Lepisosteus oculatus: one gene and its partner. Each later gene encodes a partner of the first gene's protein in a complex. Links are inferred from orthologs where the notes say so. Each region holds a gene or a part of one and is shown on either strand. Other genes may lie near its edges. The genes, in order: drc3 and gas8.

Evidence for each region.
Region 2: drc3 (region 1) and gas8 share a complex: the UniProt entries of both Homo sapiens proteins name them as parts of the nexin-dynein regulatory complex. The link is inferred for Lepisosteus oculatus from reciprocal best matches to the Homo sapiens genes DRC3 and DRC4.

What each region holds. Positions count from the first base shown.
Region 1 is NC_090714.1:17,590,638-17,599,709, forward strand, and holds the start of drc3 (dynein regulatory complex subunit 3), read left to right. Parts: upstream 1-4,837; 5' UTR 4,838-5,147; intron 5,148-6,212; 5' UTR 6,213-6,244; coding exon 6,245-6,404; intron 6,405-6,738; coding exon 6,739-6,855; intron 6,856-7,267; coding exon 7,268-7,434; intron 7,435-8,028; coding exon 8,029-8,175; intron 8,176-8,882; coding exon 8,883-9,002; intron 9,003-9,072. Other genes in the region: TOM1-like protein 2, read right to left, coding at 4,433-4,484. UniProt on the Homo sapiens protein: Component of the nexin-dynein regulatory complex (N-DRC) a key regulator of ciliary/flagellar motility which maintains the alignment and integrity of the distal axoneme and regulates microtubule sliding in motile axonemes.
Region 2 is NC_090715.1:16,577,591-16,587,196, forward strand, and holds the start of gas8 (dynein regulatory complex subunit 4), read left to right. Parts: upstream 1-5,433; 5' UTR 5,434-5,549; coding exon 5,550-5,552; intron 5,553-5,952; coding exon 5,953-6,051; intron 6,052-6,394; exon of another isoform or gene 6,395-6,440; coding exon 6,441-6,638; intron 6,639-7,678; coding exon 7,679-7,885; intron 7,886-8,028; coding exon 8,029-8,083; intron 8,084-8,784; coding exon 8,785-8,990; intron 8,991-9,496; coding exon 9,497-9,606. Other genes in the region: dbndd1 (dysbindin domain-containing protein 1), read right to left, coding at 2,128-2,158. UniProt on the Homo sapiens protein: Component of the nexin-dynein regulatory complex (N-DRC), a key regulator of ciliary/flagellar motility which maintains the alignment and integrity of the distal axoneme and regulates microtubule sliding in motile axonemes.

The DNA of each region.
Region 1 (9,072 bases):
ATTTCAACCTACATAAACCACAGCAAAGCATCTCAATGCAGTTCATCCTACAGAGATTGCAGCCACAACACGGCAACCTTCAAATTGCAAGAATCCTTGCAATGCAGCCATCAGAGAATAGTGCCACAGCAAACAGCATTAAAAACAACTTTGTTTTTGCTCATATTTTGCTTTAAGACAAACTGGTCAAGCCACTTTGGGAATTTGCTGGTCCAGTGAGGTTTTGACTATATTATCATATTTATTCTTCAGATACAGAGTGTTGGTAGTGTGTAGCACCTATAATCTAGGTGTTTATACTGTATGTGCTTGTGTTAAAATCACAAGGAGATCAACAACTTCCTGGCATGGTAACTTTAGAACACACTTCAAAAGGTTAAAAATAACCCTAATTCTACAAAGATTCCTTAAATATCAGGATTCCTTAAATATGTTCCATCATAGATGTATGTGACATTTCACATCTCTGCTGCACTTCTTTGCCAAATGGGGATCAGTGTGGAGGTTAAAATGATACGAATACGACGCCCAGATCTCCACTGCACAGAAAACAGGCTACTGCACTTCTACAAGACAGTATGTCAAGAGTGGAATTGCTTGAACTCAAAAGCCCATCCTTGTAGGACTGCACTGCTTGCACAACATCACAGAAGAAAGCTGCAGATGCTGAAGTAAAAACACTGCACTTCCATCAGGTCATTAAATTGCCTTCTGCTTCTGGGATATTGCTTGGTTCCGTCTCCATAGTGACTCGGAGCTCCAGATTAAATTATGGTGCAAAGAACAGGCAGGGCACTTTTAATTGAGTAAAGGCGAACACCCCGCAACAGGGAGACCAATGCATGAAGCACAGAAAAGCTACATCATTAAAATGCATTGGGTCAGGTGGTCGCCTGGTCCCTGCCAAAGAGGGAAAAGTGGCATGCCTGCTTTTGTTTAAGACTGATTTTGCAGTTATTGCCGTCAGCTGCTCACAGAAAACATGCTGCAGCCTGCCCAGCCAAACCTCTGCAGACGTCGAGAGAGGTGACTTCGAAAGAGGAAAACGGAGAGCCCTGTGGACATTCCCCGGATCAGCACAATCAAGTGCTCTACTCATAAGGCTGCTGTTCTAGAGGGGAGGTCTTTGACCTCTCCTGGATCGGACAGTTATAAAAACACGAGGAAGCCTGCAGACCAGAGGACGCCATTCGAACCAGATATCTCATCTGGTTGCTAATCATCACTGGCCAGAGGCTGAGACAGCAGTTAAAGACAAAACACACACGGCTTTTGCACACAACTCAAAATCGATTTTTTTATTTGCATATAAATTTATAACCGTGTCTGCGTCAGTATCATTAATCCTGTTGTGCATAAAGTGGATCAATGAAATATTCTGGCTCTCTGGTAGGGCGTGTGCGTTAATTCCTTCTTTTCTGTTGACACTCTGCAAAGAGGATGCAAAAATGACACAAGATTTGGGTCTAATGCATTCAGAAACATAACACTTGAGATGAGCAAAACTACAAACATCTGTCTGGGTTCTGGAGCAGCTGCTATGCTTTGCCAAACTGTCTTCCTCCCATCTGGAAAGCAGTACACAACAAATCCACATGCTGATGGGGACTGGCAGGATTGGCAGGGAGAGGCTCTCATAAAGTATGTGGTTGGCATTTGCCTGTAAGCTATTAAATACAAACGATAATTACCAGTGTTGCCAGAAGTACTACATCTAAACAAATGCTTCCAGATTAATCTATCGGTCAATCTGATCTGGAAAGGATGCACATTATTATATTAAATTTAGACTTAAATCTCTGTGACAGCTCTAGTTTACAACAGCCTCAGAGGCTTAGGGTACTGTACTTCACTACCACACTTGGACACAGCATGAACATGTCTGGACGTCACACAACTAACACAGAAAGATTTCTGACCTCCAGAAACACCAGCCTCGCAATGTCCTGTTGTCACATCAGTGTAAACACAGGCTTCTTCGCTCCTGAGCCACACTTGTGAAAGCTAGAAAACCAGTCTCTACAAACCCTGTTTTAGGCAGGGTCTCACACAGTAAAGGTCACTCTTTCACGAACTCAGTCATCCAGTTATAACTACAAAATGAGACTGCAAACTGGAAGAGTAAAACTGACAAGGAAGAGCTGTCTGATATATTGCAGTCTTCTCAGTCCCATCGTGGATAAGGCTTTAAAACTCCACAGTGTTCAGGCCTTACTTTTATTCTGTGCACACCAGTGTTATCTTCTGGGCTGAGTCCAACCCTTATAGCACCACCGCTATTGCACCCAAGCTAATAAAAGCTGCTGAGGAGCTCCAGTTCTTATCAGGGCATATCTCAAAAAAGATTTCAAGAGCAAAGAAGCCCTGCATCATGGAGAAACACTCTCCACTGCATAACAATCAGCACACCAAGCAAATGCAGCGGAGCACAAAAATAACCGCAGAACTCACTGCTCAGATTAAACTGGCCCCATCATAAAGGACTCACAGACTGTGACGGCAAAGAAGCACACTGCCCTTTTGCCCGTGAAAAGAGCAGTCCCTGGCCCTGACACATGAGACCCACTCAAACTCATTCAAGCAGCGAGCCTGCGGTCTCACACTCTTATAGCAATCGCACAATCGCACAGTGATTACGGCACCGCACAGTGTGCCCGCAGTTACACTCCACAGGAACACAAGTTGTGATAACCAGCATTGTCAGATTTAATCATTCTTTTTGGTGTGTTAAGAAAAAAACTGTTTGTCAGTTCTCTGGACAACAAAAAAATCTGTGCAGAGAACTGTCAGAATGACAGATTGACCACCATTGTACAATACACACTAGCTCATCGGCAGATCCCCACTGCTCAACTGCTGGTTAGGAGCTACCAAGTGAAAATGAACAGAAACTCGCTTCCAGGAGAGGATCACCTTTGCAGAATATGAAATAATGAGAGATGGTCAGCAACTGGGAAGCCACAAAAAAAACAGTCATAATTGTCACAGGAAACTACAGAGAAGTGGATTTAAAACTAAGAACTGGAAACAGTACTTCATGCAAAGGGCTGTGGGATTACTGAACATGTTACCCAGCAACATTAGCTGCAGTTGATAGCATTCAGGAAACAGCTGGATGACATCCCTGGATCAGTGAACTCCTCATTGCCGACCAGGCTAGCCGGGCCGAAGGGTCTCTGCTTGTTTGTCTCCTGTCTTGTGTTCTGATGGGTTTACTGCTGAGGTCTCAGGGCACACGCTCTCGGACTGCGATCGCAGAGATCCAACTGTATTTTCTTCTTTTGCTGAACTTGAAGTAGGCAGTTGTAAAACAGCCTCTACAACTTTTGACATTATTTTCTCTGCATTGTGAATCAGCTGTCGAGCCCATAGGAAGAAAGCTCAGGGCACCTGAGAGAAAGGATCTCTTTCTTACGCACAGGCATGAACACTAACATACTGTTGCACTAACGCCCCGATATTTTGCCAATGCTATGTACAGTACATGGCTTCACCATACAAAAATGGTTTTAACTGAAGGGCACGATGAGACTACAACTCACCACCATCCGCTAAAGGCGGTTCTAAGGCCGCCCCCTATCTCTACAGTGGAAATACGCGACTCTTGTATTGAATTTCCTCACTGATTAATTAATCGACACACCGTGAAACGCTTTTATTCTGATTTCCCCGACGAATACACTGATATACCCCCACAGCACTCATGCCTTCTCCGGAAGCAAGACTTCAAAAGCGTGAAAACACAAGGATTGCGAATCGAGGGTAATAAGTCCTGTCGCCAGAGATCCTGGTACATTACATCACAGCAAGATTGTACATCACGCAATTCCAGGCCAGCTCAATCTATTTTCTATAGCGCAAAGAGTGTGTTTGTAAGTTTCTTAAGCATACAAAATAGCACGTATCTCGGGGCTCATTTTACGACACTCTACCGTAAATATGTAACCTGTCTGGGTAAAGTTACGTTTACGGTATCTCTGGAAAGTGACGTATTTAATGGACCCCTCAGTTCATCGCCCTTAACAAAAAGAATAAAGCAGACACCGTCGAACAAAGTGACTAACTGTCGCTGTTGTGAATGGCGAGTTTCAAACTGTAATGAGAATATTTCTCTCCACACAGCAAACATTTTCAAGAGCATCGCGATAAAAACGAGGCAGGCGATACCCGAGCTCTAACACACTTCAAACATACAGAAGACGATATTTAACACATTATTAACAAAAACAAATCTTATTTCACTCTGGAAAATAACCATAAAAAGCCAACCACATTTAGACAGGAGCTAGGATAGAGCTGGTAATTCAATTAGTTGCGTGACATACAACACACAAAACAGCTCTTTACACTCCTCCAAAACACGAAAATACCTACGCAATATGATGCGTATGAGTGTTAAAGCTCTGAAAACACAAACATAAATCACAATTACCTATACATTGCCCCACCGGAGTGCTGTACGGATTTCCCAATAAAAACTCCATCTTGATGACAACAAACAATCCTCACTGACAGGCACTGAACAGAGGAGCTCCCGCTGTCTCCGCCCCCCTGAGCAGCTGATTGGGCGGCGGGGCTAAAGCTTCGATCTAATTGGCCAACCTCCACGTCGTTCCAAGTTAAAGCCTACGCAGACGCCACCTCTAGGGGGCGATCGCTGGTGGGCATACCGCAGGCCCTCCCAGGGGCCGGCTGGCCTAAGGCGATTTGCTATTGGTTAAGATCTGCGCGATGGACCAGCTGTACTGATTGGTTGTTCACCCCAGCCCTCGCGCGAAGCAATCGTTCTGATTGGCTGAGAGCGATGTAACCCTCCAATCGGATTGGTGCGTAAAGGTCTACGTCCTTCTCGGCGGGGCAGGGGGCGGGTTGATGGCGCTTTTATCTTTTATAGGCGTAGGCGTTTGTCAATCTTGCCTAAATTACAAAAATAAAATGTGGAAATAAAAACATTTTATTTACAAGGATTATCAACAAGTTATTGTGGAAAACGGAGGTTGTAAAGCCTAGGTTACATACGTTTTTATAATTAATTTAGATGCGTTGAGTGTTTGGTTGCTAAGTAACGTGAAAAGCGTCTGGCAATAGGCGGGTCTTCAGAGAAGAGTTTAATTTCTCAAAATTACGATTTACTAGCTTTGCAACTGGTATGTTGGTGTCTTATTCTTTTTTTTTAAAACTAAACTGCACTAATTGCTAAAGTCTTTGAAATAAACTAATTTGATCGTGAGAATATTATGTGTATCGGTATTATTCATACATTTTATATTATTATTTATGCATAACTTCATGTTAAAAATGTCGAATCCGTCATGTCTGTGCTCGTTTTCTCTTGCTTGTAATTTTATTTGCGAAGTGAATTGCGAATATTGTTGTTTTTCCCGTTTCAGTAGGTAATGAATGAGTAAACACTGCAATGCCGTCTAGAAAAAGTAGCTCTTTACAACAGGAACCTTGAATTTAAGATGCCTTTCTCTGTAAAACATGATAATTCAAAGATGCCTCCCTTCCGTTAAACGAGACGTGAACGTTTGCATTAGCATTTAAACACCGGGCGTATTTTGGGATCCTATTTTCAAACTGCATCTCTTTGTGTCCCCTACTAATCTGTCTCCTTCTCCTGCATCAGAGAGACCTCTAGCTACAAATTTAGCTACAGCGAAGGCGTGCAGCGCTGCACAAACTGACATTTTGGGTACAGTCGGATTGCCTGCTTCATGAATTAGTAGTGAGATTGTTAACCAGACCTTGACCACGCTGTGTGACAGCTGTTTGAGATACTGAAAGTCCCTCAGCCTTCACAGTTCAAAGACACAGCATCTTGATACCTGAACAGCATTAATATTTCACCAGTGCGGTCAGGCCTCAGAGGCAGACTACACACTGCAAAGCACAAACTGCTCCCATTTGGTGGCATCAGGCCTCTGTGTCCAACAGCTATCACCTTTCAGCATATATCCTCCCAGTACTCCAAAACGAACACTTCTCGTCTCTTTTACTTTCTGTTCCAAATCCTCTTGGTTAAAGAGCCACAGATCTTATTTTTCTGGGAAGGGGGTGGGGCAGAATGCTCATAGGTGAAGCCTGTTTATCATGGGTGAAGCAATCATTAGGTGGTGGAGCTCATTGTCTTCCAGTCTTTAAAAAGTGGTATCATTTAATGCAACCGCTCCAGGAGTTGCTTGTGTGTGTGTGTGTTTTTTGCCTGGGAGCAGGCAGAAGCAGTAACAGGGCCAACGAAAGCATGAGCCGGCTGTACGACACCGTGGAGCCCAGCGTGGTGGATGAGCAGATGCTTCAGAAGGCCGTGGAGGAGCAGGGACCCCAGGACCAGGCCGGGAGCATCGCCAAGGAGGAGGGCATCCAGTATGGAGAGGTGTGCCAGCTGCGCCTGGACTACAGGAGTGAGTCCCAGGGGGCGCTGGGGATGTCGTGGGGATTATTGGTTAGATGTGATGCAGCTGTTGAGTCCTTGGGCAGATTTATTTAGCAAAGGCCCTATTAGGGCAACCTCCAGGCCATCATAGAGCTTCTTTCTACTCTGGTTAATTACACACAACAAGTACAACGAAGTGGCGTTACATGTTCATTCTGTTGGGGAGTCTGAGGGGCATTAAAAAAGCAATTCTGCTGATCCTTTTTTTTGGTGGCTATGTTTTGATTTTACTGTTGCATGTCAGCACCAGCTGAGAAGACTGTTTTCTCAGGAAAACTGTTGCTCTTTGTGCCTTTTCACAGACATCCTGAAGATTGACCACCTGTGGCAGTTCACCGCGTTGACTAAGCTGCAGCTGGACAACAACATCATTGAGAAGATCGAAGGGCTGGACTGCCTGACCAACCTGGTGTGGCTTGGTAGGTAGCAGAGTACCAGGATGCAGGGAATCCCAATTTAAGGATTAGACACTTACAGACCAGACCCGTGGTGAGGTGCAATACAATTAACTCCATTTTATCTGCTGTGTTCATTTGCAGTAGCTTATGACAAGGTCAGAATAGTTGAATGTCAAGAAGCCTCTATGACTGAGATGCAAGTTCTCCATCGTTAATATCTCCTATCAAAATGTGAGGTAGCATTACAGTTATACACCACAAAAATAATGTCTGACTTATTTCATTTGTGTTTAAGTGAACATATTTTACAGGACCTCTTTTCCCTCATCATAACATTCAATGAAATATACTCTGTAAAGTAAATAAAGTTATTACTAAAATAAATATTCACAGTGTGACTTTTACCAACAAGCTCTACCGCTTTTTCTCTCAGACCTCTCTTTCAACAATATTGAGGTGATTGAGGGTTTGGACTCTTTGGTGAAGCTGGAGGATCTAAGCCTGTACAACAACAGGATCTCCGTCATCGAGAATATGGACTCCCTTCAGCAGCTGCAGGTCCTTTCCCTGGGAAATAACTGCCTGGCCCAGCTGGACAACGTAAGGCTCGGCAATGAAGTCACACTCAAACGCCCGACAGACACCTGTTTAGTGCCTGAAACAATTAAAAGGCAGTGAGCTTGAAGTGGGCGGGTTGGGGCAGCCTTTCTAAACTTCCTCATTCTCCCCCTGGGTGATCGCAGGGTTTGCAGCTGCATTCGGAGACACAAAAACACATCACTGGCAATTATAGTGTACTTGAGGAGGGCAGGACGCAATAGGTAGGTGATTCTAAATTTAGAAAGAAAGTTTAGTGGGACTGAGCTGTTTCACATTTATTTTGTGTACAAATTTTAATATTTAGCTTTAAATATTGTCTTGAGAGGGAAAAAGAAATGTGATCGTACAAAAGTGAGATGCAGTTTGTTTTGTGACAAGTCTTTCACTGTGAAAGAACTTTGCCAGGTACTTTATTTCAGCAACTGACAGGCCTATCCAGCAAATGTGAAGTAGCATGACAAAATGCACAAGGACTACACTTACACTGAACCATCTGTACCTCACCAGAAAATATGCTCTGCAGGTAGAGCAGAAAACCAAAAAAACATTCTGTGAATTCATCTTCTGTATTGCCATTTCCCTCTGTTTTTGTAGGTGGTTTACTTGCGGAGGTTGAAGAGGCTGCGCACGCTGAACTTGGCTGGAAACCCCGTTCACAAAGATGAAAACTATAAGACCTTCATCACAGCCTACCTGCCTAACCTGGTCTACCTGGACTTCAGGCTGCTGGATGAGCAGACCGTGAGTCACCTCATGCTGTCTCACCTGGTCAGGTATCACGGCCCTGCTGAGCTGTCCTCCAGGAAGACCAGGGTCCCACATGCATGAACAACTGCAAGCACTTGGGCATAGTTTGTGTATCTAAAGGAGGGCTGTTTAGTCCTGGTTCTGGAGGATCTGTGTGTCTGGTAGTTTTCATTCTAGCTCAGCTCTTAATAAGCTAATTCAGCTTGTTATTGACTCAGTTGGACTAATTTAACCACCTCTCCCAGCACTGCAGGTACTGCTTCTGTAGATACATCACAGCCTTCCAGGGTCAGAACTGGATCTAAATTTCTTAAATCTATAACTAAGACAAATTAACCCAACAACCGAGTGACTGAAGTGGATTAAGGTTTGTAGTTAATCAGCCTGGGGGGATCCTGCAGTTAGTCAACACCAGGGGTGATGCCAATAGAATCTGTCTGAGTCACACACAGTAATCCTCAAGGATCATGGGGAAATAAATATCCTCAATAGCCAAAGACCTGGAAAAAGGGGGACGTAAAACTAATTAAGTCAATGTTGGACTGATCATTTAAGTAATTAGCAGATCCTAAGAATCTCAGGACCATGACTGATGGTCCTGGAAGCTGGTACATTTAAGGGTCAAGCTGGAACTACATCACGAGGAGGAAGGGCACAGCCGCAGTGTTGACTGGCGCTGAGAGTGTGTGTTTGTGCCGCAGCGCGAGGTGGCCTGCGTGCAGTACCAATACGCCATCGAGGAGATGACGCAGAACGAGGCGCAGGAGGCGCAGACGCAGGCAGAGCTGCGCAGGCAGGCGGAGGAGCTGCAGCTGCACAAGGTACCCAGGAGTGCAGGCAGGACGCAGAACCATGCCCTGTGCTAATTTTCTCCCCTTTGTGCCCATCTCA
Region 2 (9,606 bases), on another chromosome or scaffold:
GTCATTTATGTTCAATGTTTGTGTATTCTTCTTGTTTGCTGATGGTTAGGTTCTCTGGAAAATTCGCTAGGAAATTTGGTGACACAACATTTAGTCACTAGAGTAGGTAACTAATGGAATATGATGTTGTCTTGTCCTGAAAGCAAACTGCAGTGCTTCTTGGTCAGAAAGGGCATGAATAATAATGCCCTGCGGTTCTTCATCGGAGATGTCCTCACCTTTTGCTGCATCGGCTGGTCAGAGACCGCAAGTGCCGCTGCGATCTCTCGAGCTGAACCGTCTCCGGTCCGACTCGGGAACAACACCAGTGCTTCTGCTGCAACAGGCGGCGGAGCGGACACTACACTCCGGCAGAAAATGATTTGCGGACGCGTTTCGGAGGGAAGTGATGTCGCTCACGGCTGTGGGAGTTGTAAACCGTGCCAGACCGAGGGCGAATTTGCGAGTCCAGGATAAGTGAAAGCAAGCGCAGTCTAAACACGCTGGGCTCTGGTTTCACTGTAACGAGAGTCCCTCACCACACAACACAATAGCTTTTTAACCCTTAGAACAGGCACAGCGAGTCAGGCCACAATTTAATTATGGATTTTATTGCAGTGTTAACTAATTATGGTAAGTTACAGGTGTAATGTTACTCGTCTTCTTCAAACATTTTGTCCAGTACTTTTGCAGTGACACAACGCTTTTGACGCAGTTCACGTTACGGTAAACCACGGGAGATCAAAAATTGCATAGCCTCTCATTTAAATTATATTTTTTTTCTTTACTTTGGAAGGACATTGGTTTGTTGTGAGCTCTAGTTGGAAGACACATAGGTGGGACAGCTCAGACTCGGGATCTAAATAAACGCTTCTCATTTCTAAATACCCGAAACATTAAGCTCGGTAACAAATCCTAACAACAAGGCCACCGTACTGATAACGATATTGATATTTGTAACCGTTTGATAGGACGATAAAGCTCTCTTAAGTATCTTGAATACTGCTATATACATAAATAATGGTGCGAGTATAAAGTAATTTGTTTTCCATCCATTTTACATACTGTACTTTACTACTGAATGTATAAGTCTGTTTATGCTGCAGCTCATGGTTTCCTTTCTTCCCTGACAGAATCTGTCACAATATTAAGAGAAGATCTTTTGGGACTAGGAGTTGTAAGCAGCATGGCAATTGTATTATAATTCTCTAACATTCACAAAATTCTTTGAAGGGGCACTATTAAGTAATTCGTATTAATGTGGAAATCCTTGAGACCTTTTTTCTACTGTACTCTTGTGATCTCTACAGTTAACCTATAAAGATAAAGATCTAATGATGGGACTGTTTCCTAGTTTGGAAACGATTGCACATTGTGTCCCTGAGCTGACAACTGAATGTAGCAAACGCTTTGTTTTGGGCGTTTTTGTTTTCTTCTCCGCTGGTCATTTTCATGGTGATCCTGACTTTTGACTCTTCCAGTATTCATATTATTCAAAACGCTCGGGGTCTGCAGCAAGACCTGTGCTTGGAGGGGGTGGGGAGGGGAGGGTGGTTTCTCCCTGGTTCCTCAAGTCTTTGTGTTGACCTGCCTGTCAGAGGAAACAATTTTGTGTGTCAGGCCAGTACTAAGCTTTGTGGTCCCGTCTGTCTGAGCACATGGGACCTCTGCACCATGACACTGGGCTCCTGGTGAGTCGCCCATTTAAATGAGCTGATCCTGAGATCCCGGACCAGCTTACTGGCTCTGCAGTTTTTACAGTGACAGAGATGAATATTCCAGCCAAAACAAAATCAGCACAGAGGAGTCCTAGGCAAAGTAAGACATGTCTTATCTTTCTCTGGCTCTGCAAGACTGTCTTTAGGAGGTAGGCTGTTCTACACAGTGTAATTTTATCTTGTGTTTTTCAGTGTAGTGATGTAGCTTTCAAAGCACGCTAAGACCTCTGCAGAAACACACAAGTGAGCTGCAACATTTACCATTAAAACAGACGGTTTATGCTCTTTTCTTCACAATTGTACACGTGAAGTCCCCGAGAGCCCTACAAGCAGAGCCAGACAGCAGCAGCAAGTTTCTTGTACTGAAAGGAAATGTTTCGGATCGCTCTAAGATCTACCGGTCTGTGAAACTGAAACGCGGTGCACCCACCTGGGGTACCTGCCCCTCCTTGTGCGTCCATCCAGGCAGGTGGTGTGTCCGGGGCTGTCTAAGGCAGCAGCATGAGACAGGAAGAGAGAAAGGGAAGGAGACAGCAAGGCAGAGCGAGGCGCTGGCTGCACTCTCCACGGCATCAGACACCAGCAACACCCTCACCGATCCTCACAGCCGGAGTATCCCCGCAAAATCACCACCCTGGGCATTGCACCAGCACAAACATGTTGCCATGCAAGCAAAGATCACTTTGCAAATTGCAGAGCCACGCTACACTGTAAGCATTGCATTGTAAATGAGCTCGGGAAGGGAGACTGCAGAAAAAAAGCAGAGTGAGAGAGAGAGAGCAGAATGCAAGACACACTGGCGATCATCCAGATCTGGATGGGGGGGGTGGTGGGAGGGGTGTGGAGTGCGAGCTCAGGGTTTTGTGTGTGTAGCACTGAGCCACACCTAAATCAAAGAGGAAATCATCCATCCACTTCCTGTTAGCGTGGAGTAAAGCTATTCATGTAGGGCTGGAAGACACCATCCAATTTGCACAAAACCTAACGCCCGATTCTTCCCATCAAGGTTTAAACCTTAAGTGCTTGCTGTTGAAATGAAAGTTTGATTTTTTCAGATGTTCCCATTTGAAGGTAGCCTGAGGGAAATTCCCCATTATGCATTCAGCTCTTCTGACATGGTTTTTCTCTGCTATAAAATTTTCATAAGAGTTAAACACATGCATGAGATTAGGGCTCTCTGAGTACCCTTTGTTTTTTGAGTGATTCTTCAATAGACAAGTAGTGTTCATTCTTTATTCTTAAAGGCATTCTGTGGAGTTAATATCTTAAATATTGTACACACTGGAAAACAGCAAAAAACTAGCATTGGAACAGAACTGGAATAACACATTCAGAATAATTTTAAATAATTGAAAAGCTTCAGAAATGAAGTCACTGCAACTCAGTCCAATTAAATGCTAGAAAACTTATTCTTTGCTCAACAATACACATACAGCTCATCACGAAGGTGCAGATGTTTGCTAGTAGTATGAACAACTGGTGATACAGTGATATGATGTGGTGTTCTTTTAAAGGGTTAGGGTTAGGGTTAGGGTGTGTATTTTGTGTTCTTTTAAAGAGGTGAAAATGTGCCTGGGTGGGTGTCACTTGTAGGCAATGAAGAAATGAAGGGCATAGAGCAGTGACACCCTGTAAAGTAATCCCACAGGACTCCATTTTCTAACCACCGGCGCAAGGCGGGATATGCCTTGGACAAGAGATGCCAATCCATCACAGATCTCGCTGAATTATTGAATCTACCAGGAAGTGAAATGTACAGTATTTGACTGGATAGTGGACTGGGATTGGACATATCACAGCATGCGATTGCATCACATCCTAAAAATAATTTGTCACCCTCCAGATTGTAATCTCCTGCTCTATGAAAAGAAAAGGTTAGGGGTCCTGTACTGAATAGCTGGTACGATTTGGAGGAGATACTGTGCTCTCATTGTTAAGTGGAGACCTGAAAGAAACACAGCCACCACAGAACATGTACTGTATGTTTACATGGAGTGAAACAGCGTTTGTACTGCGAAAATCAGGGGGTTTGGCTTTGCAGTTTATGATGACCTTTTCTTCTTTCAATTTTTTTCCTACATTTTCTTAACAAAAATAATACCTTTAAAGGAAATACTATGAAAAGTTTCTAAAATTGAACACCTGTGTAAATTGTTTAATACGGGATGTTTTAGAAATATATTTCACATTTAACTGACATTTTGAGGCACACGTATGCTTGGAAAAGCAGAATTATAGTATTATTCTTATATAAATTAACTTCATTTTATGCAATAAATCTGTAAAGCTCACCATCTGGGGCCCACATAGTCATAAAGGTATAACGAATGTGCTCTTAATTCACTGGGAAAGTGAATAAAATACAAATGAAATCTGAAATGCATGCTGGCTATTTGTCACTCATATTATCATATTATTCGTAGAAAAAAATAATGCTAATACGGATTTTCTTTTAAATTCTATGTGAAAATAGGCTAAAGAGTCTGGACATATGTTAATTTTGGGAAATGTGAATGGAGGAGCTGGAAATATCTGACATTTCTCTTATCAAAATTAGATTTTCATTGGATTTCTGGGGCACTGTCAGGACAGCTACATCACTGAAATCACTGGGATTACATTTTATTATCTTGCTGTGGTTTTAGTTAATAACTCGATGTCTAAGGCAGCCCAATCTCCTCTTTTATCTGTTTACCCTTTAAATGAAAGCCAAGGTTGATGTTTATTTTCGTACAGGATTATGGATAAAGAAATATGTTTATGTATTTATCTTTAATAAATACATGAAATATTTTCACATTGGTTGACTGTAGTACACGTACTGTAGATATCTAAAAGTTTTTCATCTTCATTTGAACGTACTTGTCTTTTGAAGCCATCTTTATTTACAAGCTGTCGTTAACATTGTCTTTCCTACTATTGTCCTAATTTTCTCAGCCTGCTGATTATAGAAGTACTTGTGTATGCACCATTTCTTTCACAGATTAATGCCTTTGATGGGTAGCCAGAGGAAAAATTAGGATTTAATCAAGACACATTTCCTTCCATCTTTCAGTTTAGGGCTGAGGGGAACAGAACCCTATCCCAGCAATCCGTCACAGTGCACACTAACACTCACACCATGGCCAATTAGCCTACAAGGGTGTCTTTGGACTGGGGGAAGAAACCAGGGCACCTGGAGGAAACGCATGCGAACACAGGGAGACGAGACAAGCTCCATGCATATATACCCCAGGAGCTGAACTCAGGGACCCAGCGCTGCAAGGTAGCACAGTCTAACCACTGTGTCACTGCACCATCCCATCAAGTAAAAATGGAAAAAGATTACTTCAGATACTTTTTATTTTTTCCATTCATAGGGACCTGCTGTTTTGTCAGGCCACACTTGGTACCTAAGCGGCAATATCAAATTAATGGAGACTTCTGTCTTCTCACTTCATCATCTATTACTGAAACAGACCTATTTGAACGAATCATGTCTTCTAAACGTGTCTTATCTGTTGTCTGCCGCAGACAACATTCCTCATTTTTGTGCCAGCATAAAAATGCTGAATTTATTTGTGTTGATTCGCATAACAAACCTTTAACGAGGTACAGTGGAGACGACTACAGTATTTGTCCTTCATTCACATGTACTGTATGCAAATCGATTTCATCTCCATATTTTGTTTATTGGCGTTGCCAGGAAACGCGCGTTTCCTGCTCCGTGTCCTTCTCGCGAGAGCACGGCCGTTGCCAGGAGACCGCTGTGTTGCTCTGTAGGCCGATGCTGCAAATCGCGACAGCAGCTCTGCTAGAACAGCAAAATATTTTCACCCCTGCCTTTTACTCAGAATCAATAGTTTCTTGAAAATGGTAAGTCTGCATGTATTTTACTTTTATTTTTACTTACGGTAGCTTTGGAAACATGATTTATGAGGATCACCTTGGGGTTGACGATCGTCGCTGTGAAAACTAAGCGTCCAAGTGAATTGATTTTATGCGTAATAATGCAGTCGAATAGTTTAAGATGCTTTTGTTAAACAACTCAGCTTTTGGACAGACGTGACGTCGTGCTACTGTGTGTGTATTGTGTGTTGTGTGTGTGTGCTGTGTGTATTTTGTGTTTTGCTCTGTGGGGTGTGTGTTGTGTGTTGTGTTGTGTGGTGTGTGTGTGGTGTTGTGGACGCTGCTGCTGTTGATCTTGAGTTCTGAGGACTCAGTAGTAAATCTGATAGGAGGTTTTAAAAGGCTGAGGCGCGTCTCTTATTCCCAGCCTCCCAAGAAGAAGAAAGGAGGGAAGAAGGGGTCGGCCAAGGGGAAGAGCCCCACTGTGGTGGACGGGATTTCCACGGAGGAAATGTCCAAGGAGCAGGTGAGCTGTGGCGATATACTCGTGCGCTGTCGCGACGTGTTGTATTATGTTTCAGAATGTTTAAAAGAAAGGCACATGTGACATTAAATTGCCAAATAAAACATCGTATAGAAAGTAATATAATAAATAATCATACTAAATAGTAATAAAGAAAAAAATAAACGACCATAAACACGTGTGTAAAGACAGACAGACAGTGTCAGGCAGACACAGACAGTGGTAAAAAGGTGAGTTTTGACTTTGCATTTGAGGAGAGTCCAAGATTTTGTCCCTGGCAGAGTCTGAGAAGCACGTTCCCTGTCACTGCTACACCTGTGCAAGCGTCCACTCGCTCTGTTTCCAGCCCCAAGGCTCGGCTCACCTCCAAGTCTGTGGCTACTTGTGTGCAGCTGGAGGAGCACATTGTCCGCCTGCGAGAGGAGCTGGACCGGGAGAGGGAGGAGCGCAACTACTTCCAGCTGGAGAGGGACAAGATCCACACCTTCTGGGACATCACCAAGCGCCAGCTGGAGGAGAAGAAGGCGGAGCTGAGGAACAAGGACCGGGAGATGGAGGACTCCGAGGAGCGGCACCAAGTAGAAATCAAGGTTAGGAGGGCTGTCTGCTCTGTTTGGCTTGCTAATATTTTTTTTCCCCTACCAATATTGAACAAACATGACTTAAGGTAAGAACATACTGTAAGAAAGGACAACTGAGAGGAGGTCTTTCAGCCCATCTGGTCTGTTTGGTAGTCAGTAGCTAATTGATCCCAGGGTCTCATCCAGCTGTTTCTTGAAAGAAGCCGGAGCATCGGCTTCAACAACATGGCCGGGCAGCTTGTTTCACACTCCCACCACTCTTTGGGTAAAGAAGGGGCTCCTGTTCTCATTTCTAAATGCACTTCCGTCCGTTTCCTCTGGTTCATGTATCGGTGCTCTATCTGAAGACGGTCGCTGGGTTAAGGGCATCAAACCTGTGCTGAGTTTGAACACCTGGGTCAGGTCTCCCCGAGAAGGGTTCTGGTCCTTCAGCCTGCGTGGGACGTTCCCTTGAGCCCTGAGCTCCCTCAACCAAGGAGTGCACTTCATAATGGGATGAAATAGAGCTGGTAAAGAGTGTTGAGGGCTTTTAGTGGTTACATGTCGTCCACTAAGGGCAGATTTGTCGTTTTATGAAGGTTTACAGAGTATCACTGGTATGATTGTTGGCCTCGGTTTTCTGTGAGGATCGTTATTTGTGCCCAGTTTCTGTCATAGTCCATAAAGGCCTAGAAGAGGGCTTCCAATCCAAAATCATTGCTGAAATTTTACATTGTGCATTAAATGATTTTCTTTTTTTATGAACATCTATGTCTCTAAGCAAAATGCTCAGAGTGTATTATAGCCCTGATGACTTCAAGATGCAATCATAATAACCTTACAATTTTCCTTAACATTGAAGAGAATGGTGGGTGCCTGTAAAAAAATAATAGGTTACCTGAATAATTAATAACAATAATTCAGTTAAAAAATACTTCATTCATCCCCAGGGGAGTAATTAATATAATTTCACTCTGATTACTTTTCATGTGGTTATTGTTTCAGAACTCGTTTGCATTGATAGTAGTCCTTTTTGTGCTGCTGCAGAATATTGTGGATTGTTTCGGCAGGTGTACAAACAGAAGGTGAAGCACCTGCTGTACGAACATCAGAACAGCACCTCCGAGCTGAAGGCGGAAGGGGTCATCTCTGCGAAGCTGATGCAGAAGGAGCAGAGCGAGAAGGAGGACGAGCTGCGGAAGGGTATGCGCACGCTCAAGGTGGATATAAAAGAGCAGGAACTCGCCAATGAGAATTTGGTCAAGAGCTTGAAACTGGTATGTGGACATTTTTTTAAATGTATTTAAAAATATATATCATATATATGTTTGTATATATATTTCATTTTAATTGTCCTCTGTGTTTAACTGGAAGATCGAGTCTTAATTTAAGCTTTTTTCTCCACTTACAACCTGAATAGAAACACGATGAAGAAATTTCCAAACTGAGGAATGATTTTGAAAGACAAGTGCGAGGTACAACTTCCTTTTCAATAATGCCATTTCCCTTCTACAAGTTAAGAGGCCAATAGATATGAGTAATAAACTGGGATTTGTGTTTGTCTATTTGTATTTTACTGTTTCGCTTGTAGTCTTGATATATAGCTCCACCTAGTGATGTAGATCTGTAACAGTCAGAATATTGCTGTGTGTTTTCATATTCGCTGTTGGACAGAGACTTACTGCCTTTGTGCTGAAACACGAGACAGAGACAGCTCTGAATTCATTGTCTCTGACTAATGTATTTCATTAGATGATAAATGAGAATGTCATTGTTTGCCATTCTCTGCATCTTGAATGAAAAACAAAATAAAATACTCTTTGCTGGAGTTTACAACCCTCGTCAGGAAAAGCAGAGTAAAAATGGATGGATGGTTAAAGAAATAGCTTATGTGCTCCGAATGTAGATGTTGCCTTCATTATTTTTTCCCTTGATACATAGTCTAAAATTCTTTAATATTCATTTAATATTCTGTGTATGGCAAACCGATAACTTGCTAGTTAGATGTCTGTGATGGGTACTTTCAAAATATGTGAATGTTCTTATTGGTTTTAACTAAAATAAATATGAATTAAGTTTTATTTTTTAATTGCTTTATTAATTGATTAATTGCCTCATATTAATTGTTTAATAATCCCTCTTAAAGGCCCTTTTTCCTTTACTTCCCGTTGAGCAGAAATAGAAGCAAAGTATGAGAAGAAGATGCAGGTGTTGCGGGAGGAGCTGGAGCTCAGGCGGAAGACGGAGATCCACGAGATCGAGGAGAGGAAGAACAGCCAGATCAACACGCTGATGAAGAACCACGAGAAGGCTTTCAGCGACATCAAGAATTACTACAACGACATCACCCTCAACAACCTGGCCCTGATCAACTCGCTGAAAGTAAGGAATGAGGAGCACAAAGTGCCTCTCGCGGCCAGGCTCCCGACCGGCTGAGATCTCTTGTCCTTGTGCTGTGAAACACACTGAGGTGGAGGACATTTTGAATCCCATTTGTAAGCCAAAATACTTATTTGACTTTTACAAATATATTCAGGTTTTTGGAAATCTTCGGTGCTCATATTAAAACATTTGTAGCTTTACTTCCACTTTTAGTAATGACAGTTAATAATAATAACAACAAAAACACTATTTAATTTCAGCTTTTATTTAATTTTTACATTTCTGATAGCTCTTCGTGAACTCTAGTCTGTGTCTGGAGGGATACAGGACCTCCTTTGCCTTTGACCAACGCTTGGTCCCCCTCATTTTCAGGCTTGTGCAAACTTTGCATTGATCTTGTACCCTCGGCCCCGTCAATGTCCTGATTGTGTCGCAGTGACCCCGGCAGGACATTCCTCAGCAGGAGCCTGCGGGGGTTGATTCTGGAATGTCTGTCTTGCGTGCAGGAGCAGGTGGAGGAGATGAAGCGCAAGGAGGAGCGAATGGAGAAGGAGATGGCGGAGGTGCTGCTCCAGAACAAGAGACTCACAGAGCCCCTGCAAAGGGCGAAGGAGGA